Lonchura striata: one gene and its partner. The protein of the gene in region 1 purifies or fractionates together with the protein of each later gene. This does not show direct contact. Links are inferred from orthologs where the notes say so. Each region holds a gene or a part of one and is shown in the gene's direction. Other genes may lie near its edges.

What was found. The genes of interacting proteins can lie anywhere in the genome.
Region 2: the proteins of LIN28A (region 1) and LARP1 purify together in Homo sapiens (affinity purification with mass spectrometry; 5 studies listed by BioGRID and IntAct, with this or other methods). This does not show direct contact. The link is inferred for Lonchura striata from reciprocal best matches to the Homo sapiens genes LIN28A and LARP1.

Annotation. Positions count from the first base shown.
Region 1 is NC_134628.1:323,271-331,034, reverse strand, and holds the start of LIN28A (protein lin-28 homolog A), read left to right. Parts: upstream 1-4,759; coding exon 4,760-4,790; intron 4,791-5,601; coding exon 5,602-5,780; intron 5,781-7,764. UniProt on the Homo sapiens protein: RNA-binding protein that inhibits processing of pre-let-7 miRNAs and regulates translation of mRNAs that control developmental timing, pluripotency and metabolism.
Region 2 is NC_134617.1:5,182,505-5,190,004, reverse strand, and holds the start of LARP1 (la-related protein 1), read left to right. Parts: upstream 1-4,494; 5' UTR 4,495-4,573; coding exon 4,574-4,916; intron 4,917-7,500. UniProt on the Homo sapiens protein: RNA-binding protein that regulates the translation of specific target mRNA species downstream of the mTORC1 complex, in function of growth signals and nutrient availability.

The DNA of each region.
Region 1 (7,764 bases):
GGGCGGTGTCGGTGCGTGTGTTCGGTGTGTTCGGTGTGTGCCAGCGTGTGCCAGGCTGTGCCAGGGTGGGTGTCCGCGCCGAGCCGGCGGGAGCTCTCTTCCATCCCCGCGCCGGCCGGGCAGCGCTCCATCAGCGCTGGGGAGGGTCCCCCGCAGCAAACCAGTTCCCCAGGCACCGGAGAAACTGGAGGGACACCGGGGCGAGCCTGGGCTTTGAGTCACTGTGTGCGAAGGGAGGGACGCGGCACGCTGGGGCCGGGCGGGGTCGGGCTCAGCCGCAGCTCCCGGGAGGGAGACGGGGCCGGGGGCAGCCCCGCAGCCCCGAGCCCTCCCCGGGCTGCAGGGGGGTCAGAAAGGACCCCCCATGAGCCGTGTCCCTCCCCCGGGTGACACCGGCCGTCCCTGGGGGGACCGGGGGGCTCCGCTCTGCCCGCAGCTGCAATGCGTTCCCAGCTCCGCGCTGGGGCGGGGCGGCCCCGCTGCAGTTTGGAGGCAATGAGGGCTCGGGGCTCGGGAGGGATCAGCCAGCTCAGCTCCCTTGGGATCACCCTGAGCAGGACTTGGAAGGAGGTTCTCCAGCAGCCCAGGAAAGATGGAACCCCTGTTTGCCGGGCCACCAGTGATAGGAGGAAGATGCAGGAGAGGCGATGCTTTGGGAGGTGAGATTCAGCTGCCTTTCCTCAATATCCTGCTGTGCCCTCCTGGCTCCCCCAAACCACGTTTCTCCCCCACTGCCTGGATTTCCTCTTGGGGGAGTGAGGTTTGAACGGGGCTGGGGGGATTTAAGGGGCAAGGGCAGACTTGTGAGCTCTGGTCTGGGGGGATCTGCAGCCTCTGAGGAATATCCTTCAGCTATCGATCCCCCTTTATCAGGCAGCAGGAATATGCATGGGCTGAAATCCTGATCAATCCCCGCTCTGCAGCCGATCAATCAGCTGCTGCCCCAGGGCTTTTATCGAAGGGAGCTGCCGAATTTGGGCACAATCCACCGCTCCAGGCCAGGGGCAGGACCGTCTCTATCCTCCTGTGCCCCGTGCCCTGCGGGGGAAGCCTGGCCGCAGGCAGCGCCCTGCAGGGCACCCTCGGGAGCTCTCCTCACCCTCCCTGCCAGGTGCCAGTGCCCCGGGCAGCCGCATCTGGGACGGAGCGGGATGGCCCCAGAGCTGTGGGACACCCAGGGCCGGAGAGAAGCCCCAGGGGAGCATTTTTGGAGGGCTGGGAAGGCGCTGCCTGGTGAGGACACCCTCGGGGAGCACGCCTGTGCCAGTGTCCCCCCGGCCCGGGTTCCCAGCGCTGGGAGCATCCCGCGGGGCGAGCAGGGGGTGCGGGGGGGAGGAGCAGCTCCGTGGCCTCCTTTATTGATTGCCTGGCAGCCAAAGGTCAGCAGCGAGCGTGGCAGGGTGGGAGGAGGGCGCTGGGGTGTGAGGGGCTCGCTGCCAGCCCCGGGGCGAGTGCCAGCCTTGGGCAGGGCGCGGTGGAGCGCTCAGCATGGGCACCCACCGCGCCCCCTCGTGCCTCAGTTTCCCCGCCAGCAGATGGGCTGGCAGGACTGGAGGGTGGCCACCAGGCTCCTGGGCTGGCTGGGTGGGGAAGGAGGTGGAGGGGGCTGGAGGGAAGGGTCTGTGCCCACAGGAGGGGGTGGAGGTGGGCCCGGCCGGCGTTGGAGGAGGTTTGTGCAGCCAGGAGGGCTGTGCCTGCGGGGCGGGCAGGCAGACGGAACATTTTCCTTCCTCAGGAGCTCGGAGGCTGCTCTTGGGCTGGCCAGCGATGGCAGCGACAGCGCTGCGAGATGGCGCTGGAGCCTCAGCCCAGATAAGATCATTTTCCACGGCACTTCAGGACCCCGCAGGGACTTGCAGCACCCTGGGGACACCGGTCCCGATTTCTGCCAGCGCTGTGACCCACGTGCCCGGGTGCTGCCCAGCCCCAGGGCTCCTCCTGCCGGGTCAGGGCTCCGGTGGAGCCCCGGGGCAGCTCCGTGGCTCCGGCCCAGGGACAGCAGCGCCGGCACTGGGCTCACAGAGCTGCTGCCCTCGCCCCGGCCGTGCCGAGGGGGAAGATTTACAGGCTGTCAGAGCCGGGGCCAGAGGTCAGCAGGGGTCAGAAAGTCCATTTCAGTGAGGTCACTGTCCACTTCTTTCAATCTAATGAAGCCATTATTTGTGAAAGCGGCCGCTTTGCCGGCTATTCCCTTGAAGCCGAGCAGGGCACAGCGACCGGCTCTGAAAGAACAGGAAGGAGTCCCCTTCCCTTCCCTTCCGCGTTTGCCATTCAACAGGCCCCGAAAACAAATACACCACACACAGAAATACGACACGGGGCCGGCGCTGCCGGGCCGGGCCGGCGGCGGGGAAGGGTGGGATGGAAAGGGATGGAAGCGCCCTGATCGGGGACGTGGCTGCATCGCGGGGCTGCAAAGCCACTGAGGACGGGCAGAAATCGGGGCGCGCTGAGGAAGTCGCTGCTGCCAGCAAAAAGTTACAGGGAAATGCCTCCGGGGCTGCTGGTCGCTCCTGTCCGTCAGGAAGGGCTGCAGGGGGAGGCTGGTGCAGGGTGTGGATGATTTTCTGAAGGATTCCTTGTGGAGAAAGCGAGAAAGGGCTCATTCCTCACCACATCCTTCCCCCGTGCCCTCCCCAAATCCCGAGTGAAACGGGGAAAACTGGGCAGGAGACGGGATGGAAGCAGGGGTAAGAGGAAGGGGCTGGAGCCTTTTGGGGGGGGTGGGTTATTTTCTCCCCTCCTGCCCCAGTTATCGCCCAGCCGAGAGGAAAACGGGGATGGATGCGCAAGCCCTGCAGCCAGGAGAGGGGGCCAGACGCGCTCCTGCTCCCGGGATGTCCCGGGATGGTCCCGGGATGTCCCGGAGCACCACCCGAGCTGGCGCGGGGTGCCAGCAGAGAGGGGGAGCAGGGACAGGGACAGGCACCGCGGTTTCCTTCTTGCCAGGACTGCCACCAGCCCCGTCCCGGAGCGGGAGTTCTGCGGCGGCCAGAGCCCGGTCAGGGACGGGAGAGGGGATCCCATAGGAAACCCTGGCCGGACCCGTCCCTCCTTCTGCTGCAGGTGAGGTGCTGCTCCTCGGCTTTGGGGAATCGGCTCAGGACCGACCATGAGAGACCAGCGGAGACTCCTGGCAGCCCGTTAAGGGCGGTGTGAAGGTGAGGGACACGCTGTGCCAGCGGCTGGGGGTGAGAGGTGACACCTCCCGCTCTGCCTGTGCCCGTGGGACACGGACCCACCGGCACCGCGAGTCCTGGCGGGCTGGGGCGCTCCCAGCAGCTCACTTGGGTGCCTCCACCGAGAAAAACCATCCTCTTCCTCCTCTTCCTCCTCTTCCTCCTCTTCCTCCTCTTCCTCCTCTTCCTCCTCTTCCTCCTCTTCCTCCTCTTCCTCCTGCTTTGCCGTCCGCCAGTGGGGTCCAGCGGGGCTGCTCGGCTCTGTGGGGAAGGGGCAACGAGGAGGCCGCGGTGTGCGGGGCAGGAGCAGGAGGAGGGAGAGGAAGAGCAGGAGGAGGGAGAGGAAGAGCAGGAGGAGGGAGAGGAAGAGCAGGAGGAGGAAGGGCAGCGCCAGGACCCTGGACAGGGCCGCCGCTTCAGCACCACGGCCAGCGGCAGCGGCGCCGCGGGCGGCGGGGGCTTCGCGCGGGGATTCCCCACGCGGGGATTCCCCACGCGGGATTCCCCACGCGGGATTCCACCGGCAGCACCGGCCCGGCCCCGGGCCGCCCCGCGGGTGACACCGCGGTCCCCGTGGCCGCGCCCCGCCAAACCGCGCGCTGCTCGGTGACACCACGCGGGACCGGCCGCGCGTGGGGCGGCCGCGGTGGGCGCAGACGCCGCCCCCGGCCCCCGCTGCCCCCGCCGGGCCGGTCTGGGGGCACAGCCCGGGCGGGGCGGCGGGCGGCGCTGTGCCCCCGCGGCCGGGGCATTGTCCGCCGCCGGAAATGGAGCCGCTGGTCACTCGCCCTTTGTCCCCGCCCGGCCCGGGGGGCGCCGGGCCCCGGCCCCGCCCCGGCCCCGCTCCCCGCGCCGGGGCCGCCGGGCCGGGGGAAGCGCGGCGCATCCCGGGGGGCGCACGGTGCCGGGACGCGGGATGGGGCTGGGGGCGCAGGAAGAGCCCGGGGTCCCGGGAAGCCGCCCCCTCCCCCGTGCCGTTCCCCGTCCCAGCGGGTCGCGGCTCGCAGGTGGCTCCGCTCGTGGGGAGGGGGCGCGGACTAACGACGTGGCAGCTCCCGCCGGTGTCCGGGGGTCCCACCTCCAGCCCCCCTCCCCGGGTGTCACCTCCTGCCTTGACAGGTGGCCTCGCCCCCAAGTGCCCTAAGTGTGGGGGGGTCAGCCCACACAGCCCCCCCCGCTGCAAATCCCTCCCGGAATGTGTCGCTATTAGCGGGGGGGTTAATTAGGATCACGTGGGGACGGGATGGCGGAGCAGGGCCCGGCGCCCCCCGGCCCCGCGGGTGGGTCCTGGGGGGGGGCGGGGGCTGCTATTGTCTGCGAGAATTTGGGAGCCTTTGAAAAAACCCTCCCGCTCCCTCCCACCCCTATTGTTGGAGTGAAGATGGAGTCAAACCTCTCCCGGCTCCCTCCCGGCGGGGTCTAAGCTGGGGTTTTTTGTTGGTTTTTTTTTCCTCCTTTTTTTTTTTTTTCTTTTTTTTTTTTTTTTTTTTTGGCTGGCCTGATACCCTCAAAGCTGGCCGAGGAGGAGGAGGGAGGAGGCGGTAACAGCCACAACTCGGAATTTGCAAGCGAGTGTCGGGATGGGGTCTGTTTCCAACCAGCAGTTTGCAGGTTAAGTTATATTATTGTCGCAGCCCGCCTCGGCTCCGCGATTATTAATAACGAGGGCAGAGCCCGGCTGGGGGGCGCAGGGCCCCCCCGACCCCGGCCCACCCAGTCCCGCTGAGCCCCGGCAGCGCGGCCGGGCCCGCCGGGCCCCTCTGCCCCGCGCAGCGCTGGGGGTCGCAGGGGGGATTTATTGGGGTTTTTTATTCCCCCCTCCAGCCCCAGGATGACCCCAGAAGTTTGGGGCCGCTGGCGGCTGCTGGGGGTGTTTGGGAGCGGGGGTGGGACGGTGCAAGGGGGGGATGCTGACGGCGAGGGAGAGTTTCTCCAGCATGGCTTGCTGGGGGCAGCGGGGTTTCGGGTTGGGATTTTGGGGGAGTTTTTTGCCCTTTTTTAAAGTTCTGTTTTAATATTTTGATTTTTAGAAAAAAAAATATTTTGGCTATTTTTCCGTTGCTCGATTGGTCTTTTTGTGTGTGTCTGGGATTTTTAATTTTTTTTTTTTCGTTTTTAAGGTTTTTGAGGGAGAAACGGATTTAGAGCTCCCACTGCACGCACTGCCTGGGTCGTGCTGGCAGCAGCCGCCTTCGTTTCCTGGGGTGATCCCCGTGCACACGTGGAGGCAGAGCTCACCTCTCCGATGTTTTTTTTTTTTGGGGGGGGCGGTTGGGGATTTTTTTTTTGCGTTTTCCAGCCTGCACGGGGCACCCCGAGCAGGGTTGGGGGTTCCTGTGCCGGCCGGGTGCGGGGCGGCTGGGCCGGGGGCAGCCGCGGCTGCCGCAGCCCCGGCTCAGCGGCTCCGCGGGTCTCTCGCCAGGTGCGAAGCCGGGCGAGGAGCCGGCCGGAGACTCGCCCAAGGCGGAGAACGAGTCCCAGCCCCTGCACGGCTCCGGCATCTGTAAGTGGTTCAACGTCCGCATGGGCTTCGGCTTCCTCTCCATGACCGCCAAGGGCGGCGCGACCCTGGACTCGCCCGTCGATGTCTTCGTGCACCAGGTAGGGCCCGAGCCGCGGGCGCTGCGGAGGGCCGGGGTGCGCTCCGGGGCACGGAGGAGGGATGGGGTCCCCCCTGCCGCCGCAGCCGCGCTCCCCGGGCGGCGGGGCGGGCAGGCACGGCCGCGGCCGGGCTCCTCTCCGCGGACCGGCCCTGTGAGGCGATCCCGGGCGATCTCATTTTGCCGTCGTTGTTGGCTGAGGAGCCCCTCGGGGCCGGGGGCGCAGGTGACGCCGCTCAGCCCGCGGAGGGACCCGGGGAGCGGGCGGCGTGAGCCCGGGAGCCCCGGCCTGGCCGGGACGCGGCACCGGGAGCTCTCCCGCTGGAGCTCATCCCGGCACCGGGCATCCCTGCCCGCGCCCTTTGTCCCAGCCGCGGGTGGCACAAAGGCGTCGGGTTTGCGTCCCCGCGGATCTGTGACAGCGACAGTCCCGTGTCCGGATCTGACCTTGCCGAGCGGGGAAGCCCCACGCGTGTCGGGGGCCCCGCACCCTGGGAAGTCGTGGATTAGGGGCTGAAGTTCCTCGAACGCCCCGGATCTCGGGGGAGGATCCGCCGGGGCTGGGGGAAGGGGTTTGGACACGGTGCCCGAACCGGGGCCAGCGCCGGGAGGGGATGCGGGGCTCAGCGCCGGCTCGTGCGGACGGGGCTCTGTGTGCTGCCCCTCACCTCGGGACTGCCGTGGGGCTGGGGGGCAGAGCGAGCACGAACCAAGGGGGCACGGGTGTTTTTGGAGCAAACACGGGGGGTTGTACGCGTGATCGAGAGCAGCACCGTGGCGCTGGCTCCGGGGAGTCCCGGGACCAGCCGCCTGCAGTGGCCGCTGCTCTTCAGGGGCCCAAAGCCCCCCAAAATGGGTCCATCCCCTGGGCTGGGGGTGCAGGACCGAGCTCCTGGGCTGTGAGAGCTCCTGGAGCTCCCGGGGGTCGCTCACTCCCTGCCCTTGAGCGAGGCCTCCAGGCAGGACTGGAAGGAAATGATGGCCGGGGGAGATGCCAATCCCTTCTCCCTTGGCTGTGGCATGGGCAAAGCGCCTTGGTAGGAGCTGCTATCCCCCGGCACAGCTGGTTTTGGAGTCAAGGGCTCCAAATCAGCCAGGGGAAAACAGATCCTGGTGTTCTCCAGAGAGCAAATGGGCCTTTGCATCTCAATGCGGCACAGCGGGACCCAGCGCTCCCGGGGAGAGCCTCCCGCCCTGCTCCCGGGGCTTTATTGCCCCCAGACAGTCTGGTTTCCTGATTGCTCCCGCTCACATTCCTGCAGGGGAAGGGAATTAGCTGGGGTGTCTCTGTCGGGAGCATCCCACTGCCCTGCAGCCTCTCGGTGCCCCCCGGTTTCTAGGGTCGGGGGAGATCCCAGAGATTGCAGCGTTTGGGAGCTCTGGGGAAAAGCGGCTTTTTCTGGGGAGCAGAGGGGTGCGGGAGGCTCCCGGCGGCAGCAAAGGGCTTTGCCCCACCAGAAGCTTTGGGCTGCTGGAGAATTCTCCTGTGACTCGGGTTTCGCCCCCTGCTCCTCTCACTGGTGGCACAGAGTCTCTGCTCTCCTGCAGGAACAGCCGGAGCCGCTCCCGGCGTCTCTCCCTCCGCAGAGCATCTCCTTGCAGAGGGAGCAGCTCGTGCTCCCGCCGCGGCCTCGCTGCTTTTGGGTGGCTTGCGGGGAATCGGGTCCTTGTCCCGGTGCTGTCCCCACCCCGAGCACCAGGGCGCTTCTCCGGAGCCCGCTCCGCTCCCGGGGAGGGAGTCGGGGCTGCGAGGGCAAAAGCCACCAAAAGCCGGGGGGGACGAGGCTCAGGACTCCTGTGCCCTGCCCAGCACCCAGCGCCCCAAAGCAGCTTTGGGGCTTAACACTCCAGAGCCCCTCAAAACCCGCTCCTTCCCCTCTTCATTTACATATGTGAATGATGACCCACAGGAAGTAATTGTAGGAGAAAGAAGGGAATTGGCCTCTTTAGATCTATTAAATCACTTTATTACAGGAACCAGGTCT
Region 2 (7,500 bases), on another chromosome or scaffold:
CGAGGGGCCAGCAGCTTTGGGAGCTGGTTCCTACCCCAGGCGTGGCAGAGTGCCCTGAGAGCACAGTGCCTTTGGCTGGGCTGCAGCACCAACCCACCAAGCCCCTGGGCTGTGGAGCCCTGCTAAGTGAAAGCACTTTTTGATGGGGATGGAATGGAACTCGTTAGTGTCTGCTGTTTTATTACACAGGTTGAAAATTACTTATTGGTGGGAATGCGCTCACTCTTCACGCTGATCCTTCATATGCTTTGCTGGAAGGGTCCAAGTGAATTAATCTCAGAGCCAGGGAGTGTCTTCCATCTCTCTGGATCACATGGCTGCAGATAGATATGGGGCTGTCTGGAGCACTCAGTGTGTTCTCACCCCTGTGCCCTGGCAGCAGAAGTGCAGGAGCTGAGATATCTGCTCTGGCTGTGCTTTGTGCTTTAGTGCATGGTCCCTCACTCCACAGCAGGGTTGGAAGCTCTGGGGTTAAAAACATGGGGCAAGGAGAGGCTAAAATATGGTTAAACTGGGGGATGTTGGCACTCACTTTGGCAGAAACCTGCAGGAATGGGCACTTTCTTCTGGTTGTGAGCTAAAGCAGGTTGAAATGTGGATATTTTGAGTAGTAGAAAAAAAGGTTTGGGTGTTTAATTTTAAAAGTACTCAAGTGCTTTGTGATGGCCACTATGTGCCACTAATAGGTGTCTGCTGGTTGGAGGCACTTGCCATGGCAGAGTCACAAGGATTTGCTGGCAGCCTGCCCTCAGCCCCACTCACCAATGGCACAGCAAATTGGGACGGGAATTTGGGCTTCCACTGTTTTGTGGGAAAGAATATCACCCAGACTTAAAAGGTGGGGTCAGATTACCCTGGTGAAGAATTTCAGGGCAAGCTGAGTATTTTTCAGTGGGAAACTGTCAGGTTTTCTGAAATTAAAAATTCCCATTTCAATGTGAGGGTTGTAACTGTTGGCCCAGAGTCCTGAGAATGGTTCTGCACCAACATACCATCCTCTTCTCAGAGCGAAGACGCTTCTCTTCTAGGAATGAGCTGTGGGTGTCCTTTGAAAAGCTTTTCCCTGTGGGCACCAGCAGTTGGATGGTCAGACTGCTTTTGCAAGTCCATTGGAAGCAGGACTTTGACATCCCTCAGGGGCAGTTGGGTTTGCTGGAGGGCAGCATTGCAGGGCTGCTGCAGGAAAGTCAGCCCAACCTTGTGTGCATTGTCCCTGACAATGTTTCTGCCTGGCAGGGTTCATGGAGCAATAACAACCACATAAATAAGTCAAAGCATATGACTCAGGATAGGAAGCTTGGACTTTCCTGGAACAATCCTCTTTTGCACAGCGTTAAAGATGCCTGAGCCTTAATATTCTGCCATCCACGTGTAAAGCTTGGGCATCTCACCAGGGAACAGCGTGACCAGCACTGGCAGCAGGCAAACTGGTCTGGAGGTGCTGGGAAAAGAAAATTCCCTTGGGAAGCACACATCACATCTGAGCTGACTGCGAGGTCTGCACAGCCCTGGATGCAGGGAAAGGAGGTGTGATCAGGAGTGTGCTGCAGATGCTGAGCAGCACTCAGGACCTGACTAGAGCAAAGGTGAAACTGTAGGAAAGAAACTCTTTTAACGGTGACCTCGTGGCCACAGTGCTGGACAAAATTAGGCAAGTGGAACCTGAGAAAGGGGCTGAGCTACCAGCCAAACAGGATAGTGAAGTTAAGGAGCATATCAGTCACATCGGCTGCTTTGTGCTCCGCCATGCACAGGCCTTGCTCCAGGCCACTGAACTAAAGCTGTTCCCAAAGGGAAGGTTGGGCCTCTAGGTGAGCTTGCCAGACCAGCAGAAATGAAGCTGGGGATTTTCCAGCCAAGCAAGACCCAGAGATGCTCAGAGGCATTAATGGCCACCGTCAAAGCATCTTTAAACCTCCAGGCCAGCACCAAAGCAGCCGGCTGTCTGTGATAAATATGCAAGCCACGCTTCAGTCGGGGAGAAATAAATAAGCTGTTGTACAGGGAGCAAGGGAGGTGGGGAGCTCCTGCCCAAATCACTGCTCAGCAGAGGAGTTTCCCTGGAGACTGCTTCCTCAGAGCCTGCGCAGGGCCAGCACAGGGCCGGGAGGCAGCACCCAGAGCTGCTTGATGTGGTCTGGGCAGGCACAGGGACACATCTGGGGTGAAGGATGAGGCAGAGAAGCAGGACTGGGGATGCCAATCAGGTGCTTTTGTTGCATTTGGGGAAAGCAGAGATGGATTACTTCCCAGTGAATTGTGCTGCAGAAATGTGGAGACTCCTTGGCTGCCTCTCAGCAAGCCCCTGGAGGGAGGAGCAGAATATCCAAGTGGACGCTGGGCAGAGCAGGGGAAGGTGGGTCCAGCAGAGGTGAGGACACCAAGGGAGGAGTGGAGCACACGGAGCTTGCTGGGCATGGCCAGCGTGTTTACAGCAGCTGGAGGTGGTGCACACCCAGCTTCCCTGGCCATGGATGGGTGTTTGAGAGCTGACCTGCCAAGGTGATGCTCCCTATAGCTGATTCAAGAAACTTGTACGGACACCTCTCTTCCCCCCTCACCCTTGCTCATGCATTTATTTTCTAACTCCGAAAACCTGCCTGGGTTTGGGCTGGCTGGGCACTGCATGAGGGTGAGACTCATCCAGCTCCCTCCTGCCTGGCAGCTCTGGAGCCAGTTTGGCTCTTGGCCACCGCGGGCTCGTTCCTGCTCACGTGGCAGCAGAGCAGCGTCCCACAGGGAGCGAGCTGGAACTCTGCACCCTGGCTGGGGGACAGGTGAGGGACACCAACGGCCTGCAGGTCCCCTGGCTGCAGCCACCTTCCTCACCCAGCTGTGCTCCCCATGCCAGGACCTGCTCCTAGAGAGGGTGTAGGTGGGAGAATGGCTGGAAGCTGTGCAGCTCCAAGTCACACTCATGAGGAGCCCCCAGCATGTCAGGGACCGGGCACAGGAGCACAGGATGTGGCTTGGGTTACTGCAGCTCAGGTATTCAGCCAGCCAGGCCAGCAAGCCTCTCTTCTGAAGTTATATTTAAAGTTCCTTTTGGAATTTTAGTGGCCAAATTATTGAATGATTTGGGATAACTGCTGGTGATCCCTAAGGCTGTGGCACAGGAGGGTATTTTTTGAGCCAAGAGCTTGGGTACCAGGGCACATAGAGAGCAGAGATGGTCTCAGTGGAGCATCCCTGACAGCCTGGGACTCCCTCTATGGATCCACCATGATGCTGCTGCCCTTCCAAATGTTGTGCTGAGCTCATGTTTGTTTCTCACTTTCTTCTTTCCTTCCAACAGTGAAATCAGCTTTTCATCCTTCTCCACGCATCAGCAGCTGGCAGCTACATCTTCAGTGCCTTGTCATGCTGACGGGTCTCCTGCAGGGATTGCATAGATGTGTCCCTGGGGCTGCAGGACATGCTGGGACTTCCAGATGAACCTTTCCAGGCAGAAGCAGAGTGGTGTGCTCGCTGTGATGAGGAAAGAGGCTGGGAGAAGCTTGCATTTAATAAAAAAGGCATCAAGTAAGGGCTGCTGTGAACTAGGCAGGTTGTGCTAAATGGTATTGGCAGTGCAAGCTGCCTTTTAAATGTGTATAATTCATGTGCGCAAACACACACGGTCTGCAGTCGCTGTCTTGCTGCCTGCAAGAATTGAGGACAAATACCAGGAATATTAAATGATGGTGATGAGCAAGTGACATTCTATCAGCTAGAGAGCAATTAAATATTTTAGCCTATTCAAACAAAGGTTTTGCTGGGCACAGGAGATGAGAAGTGGTCTCTCGCTCATCAATGTGCATAAATATCTAAAGGGAGGAGCCAAGCACATGGAGCAGGGCTCTTTTCGGTGGTACTGAGCAATAGGACACATGCAATAGGCAAAAATTGATGCACAGGAAATTCCACCTGGATATAAAGAAGAACTTATTTACTGTGCAGTGACCCGCACTGGAACAGAGAGTAGAGAGGCTGCGGGGTCTCCCTCACTGGTGATGATCAAGAACCGTCCGGATGCCAATCCTGTGCCATGTGCTCTGGGACAACCCCTGTTTTTACAGAGAGGTGGGACCAGCCGGCCCAACCCGGCCGTTTCTGTGGTTCCGTGATTCCCCAGGACACGCACCGAGTCCCTTGCTGCACTTTCCAACCACGTTATCCCCAGGCGTGGGTGACCGAGAGCATCCCTACCCCTCGGCTCCGGGCTGATGCCGGCCGGGGCTCGGGGGCTCCACCGGCGCGTCCGTTCCCGTACTCCCCGAGCCGGCAGCGGTTCCCCCGGCCCCAACGCGGCCTCTCCGAGCCGGGCGGCGGGTCCGGGCTGTCGGGAAGGGGCCGGAGCGCTTTAAACCCCCCGGTTCCCTCCCTCAAGCCCGGCCCAGCCGGGCGTTGCATCAGGCCCGTGCGCGCCGCCGGCCGCCCCGCGGGGGCGCGCCCCGCGCCGCCCCTCCCCTCGCCGGCGGCGCGCACGGGCGGGCGGTGCGCGCCCCCGCGGCAGTCGCGTGGTCCCCGCGCGGCTCCATATTGCGGCGGCACCGGGGTCGGGGGGTTCCCGGCGGGGCTCGGGGGCGCGCAGATGGCGACGCAGGTGGAGGCGCTGCTGCCCGGCACGGCCCCGCTGCTGCCCGCCGAGGAGCGCGCCCTGGTGCTGAAGCCGCCGCAGGACGGCGGCCGGGAGAAGGGCGAGCCGCCCATGGGCCCCGACGGCGGGCCGGCGGCGCCGAGGCCGCCCAGCGCCAAGCAGCAGAAGGAGGAGAGCAACAACCAGGAGAAGGAGAGCCTGCTGAGGGCCGGCGGCGAGGCGGAGGACGGCGGCGAGGCGGGCGGCGCGGGGCGCCGGGAGTTCATCGAGGCCCCGCCGCCCAAGGTGAACCCCTGGACGAAGAACGCGCCGGCCGTGAACGGGCAGTCGCCTCCCGGTGGGTGCTCGGGGGTCGCCGGGAGCGGGGCGGGGGGGCCCGGCCGCGCCGCCGACCGCGCCCCGGGCGGCCGCGCCATGCGGCACACGCGGCGTGGGGCCGCGCCCGCGGCCTGCGGGGCCCGGCGGGGCGGGGGGGCGGCGGCGCGGCCGCGGCCACGAGGCGGGGGGAGCAGCGCGGCCCGGCCATGCGGCGGCGGGCGGAGGGGCCGGCGGCCCGGCGGCGGCGGTGGTGGTGGCGGGCGGGCCCGGCGGCGGACACGCGGCCCCCCCTCCCCTCCCGCTCCCGGCATTCCGCCGCAGCAGCGCCGGCAACGTGGTCGGTTCCCGGCGTGCGGCTCCCCCGGGAGCGCGGCCCCGCCGCCCCCGCGGGGGCCTGGCCCGGGCCGCGGCCTGCGCTGCCCACGTGTGCGCGGCCGCGGCTCCCCGCGCAGGCCGCGCCGCCTTTCTCTGCCGACTCATGGCGGCGGGGCCGCGGCGAGCGCCGCTCTGCCCGGCGCGGGCGCTGCCCCGGGCTGCGGGCGCGGCGCAGAACGGGGGTCCCCGAAAAGGGAAGCGGAGGGGCTGCGCTGTCCAAATCGCGCTTGGAACCCGCTGCTGTCGTCAGCAAAGGCTGAAGCTGCAGAACACCATTTCCTCGCCTGTCGGGATGGGTGTTGCGCTCCTCTCGTACCTGCTTCAAGTGAATCGGGAGTAGGGGAAAACCGCAGAAGTTTTCACTAAGCGTCTTGTTTGGGAAAGACTTAATCTTTTTCTACCTGTCTCTGTTAGCTCTGAAATCACGCTGCCATATGTGCCGTCAGATTCCCAATTACTGTACATGCCAGTGTTTTGTAAGAACTGTTACTACCTAGCATGGTGATTCATCCGAGTTATTGATCTTTGGGAGATGGACAGCTCTGCAATTTCTACCTGGAAAGCTGTCATCTTAATTGGAAGTTAAGAGGACAAGTTAATCGTGCCAGGTAGAAGTCTGTGTTTGGATTGTTTGGTTTGTCGTTGTAGTCATGGACATAAGCAAAGCTTAAGGAAATCCAGGGTAGCGTTGGTGTTTGCATTCACCTCGTGCGTTATGACACAAAACTGGTCACATCGCTCCTTTGTGTGAAGGTTACACTCTATTGTGATGACTTCTGAGATAACGATCCCGAGAAATAAACCAAAAAAACGCAAAACTGCAAGGTTGAGTGTTCCTGTTTGAGTCTCCTGTGTAAAGAGTGCCCAGATTCATTACCAGCCTCATCCGTTGCAAACGTGTGTGATTTGTCAGAGTCAGCAGCAACGATGCAGCTGCCCAACACAAGCAGGGGGCCTTTGCAACTCCTGGGATGATTATTTGAGGGAGAGAGTGAGGCTGTGTCATTAGCGTGTCCACGCAGTTGTAGGGTAAGGGAGTAATGCGGCAGCGCTCAAAATTGTCCTTGGGCCCAGCACAGTTGTCTCTGTATTCCCAGAGGTGTTTAAAAATTGAATTTGTTAGTGGTGTGTTCTGGGACGCTTGGTGGCAGCAACTGGTTCCAGCAGTGCCCCCAGTGCTGCTGCCTGCTTCTCCTCTCTTGGGCCATTGTTTCTTTTGCTGCGTGTTCATTAGCAGAAGAGAAAACGTGTAAAATAAACACTGCTGGTGAGCTCCCACGAGAGGCAGGCTGGCAGCTGACCTTGCCTGGCAGCCCTGCACCCAGGTGCCTTCTTGTAGAGTTTGCAGGCTCATACTGTGTCTTCATTCCATTGGGTGGAGGATTTGTTTTGGCAGACACTTGACAAAAAAGATCTGGAGCGTGAATTTGTGTGAAAGAATCGGTTGGTAAGGTGAGTTGCCCTGTTGTGATGTTGTAGTGACCTCCAGGAGGATGACCCAAGGAAAGCCACTCTTTTTCTATGCTTGAAGTGAATTGAGAGCTTCTGAACTCTGGAAAGTCACTACTGTAAGTCTTTGGGTTTTTAGCAGAGCTTAACAAGGCCTTTGCTCATAATCCAGCAGTGTTCCCAGTGCAATGCTTGTGTGCTGGAGATACTAAATGTTTGCAGCCCTGATCCACCAGAGGTAGTGAGGAGACCAGAGAGCGTAGTGAAGACAGGCCTGTAAAGATAAAGGGATCCTTCTGTGACTTGTTTTACAGGCTTTGAAAGCCCTAATTTTTTTATAATGATTATATTAATTATAGACCCACAGAGCAGATTTAATGGACAAGACCTTCTCCTTAGGTGTCCCTGCATTCTGCAATGGCCTGCGTTGGCATTGGTGCTTGAAAAATAAAAGCATTGAGCTCAGGGAAAACAGCTGCCTGCAAGATCTTGGTGGGTTTCTGCTGTCCATGTTGGACTATGGATAGGGAAGAGCTTAACACCACCTCCAGGTGGTCGAAATACCAGCTTGTTTTGAACTGTTTGACTCGCCACTGCTGGGCTAGTTGAGTGCATTTGGGGCCTGACACAGGGACTGAAGAACAGGATCGTTTTCTCATGGATTAGGATTTACCTTTAGAAGTTTGTGCCATGCCTACCTGCTGCAGTATTTTTATGCTCAAAGTTGGCAGTGAAGGCTGTAATATAATGGGATGTTCGAGCAAACATTTCTGCTTTTT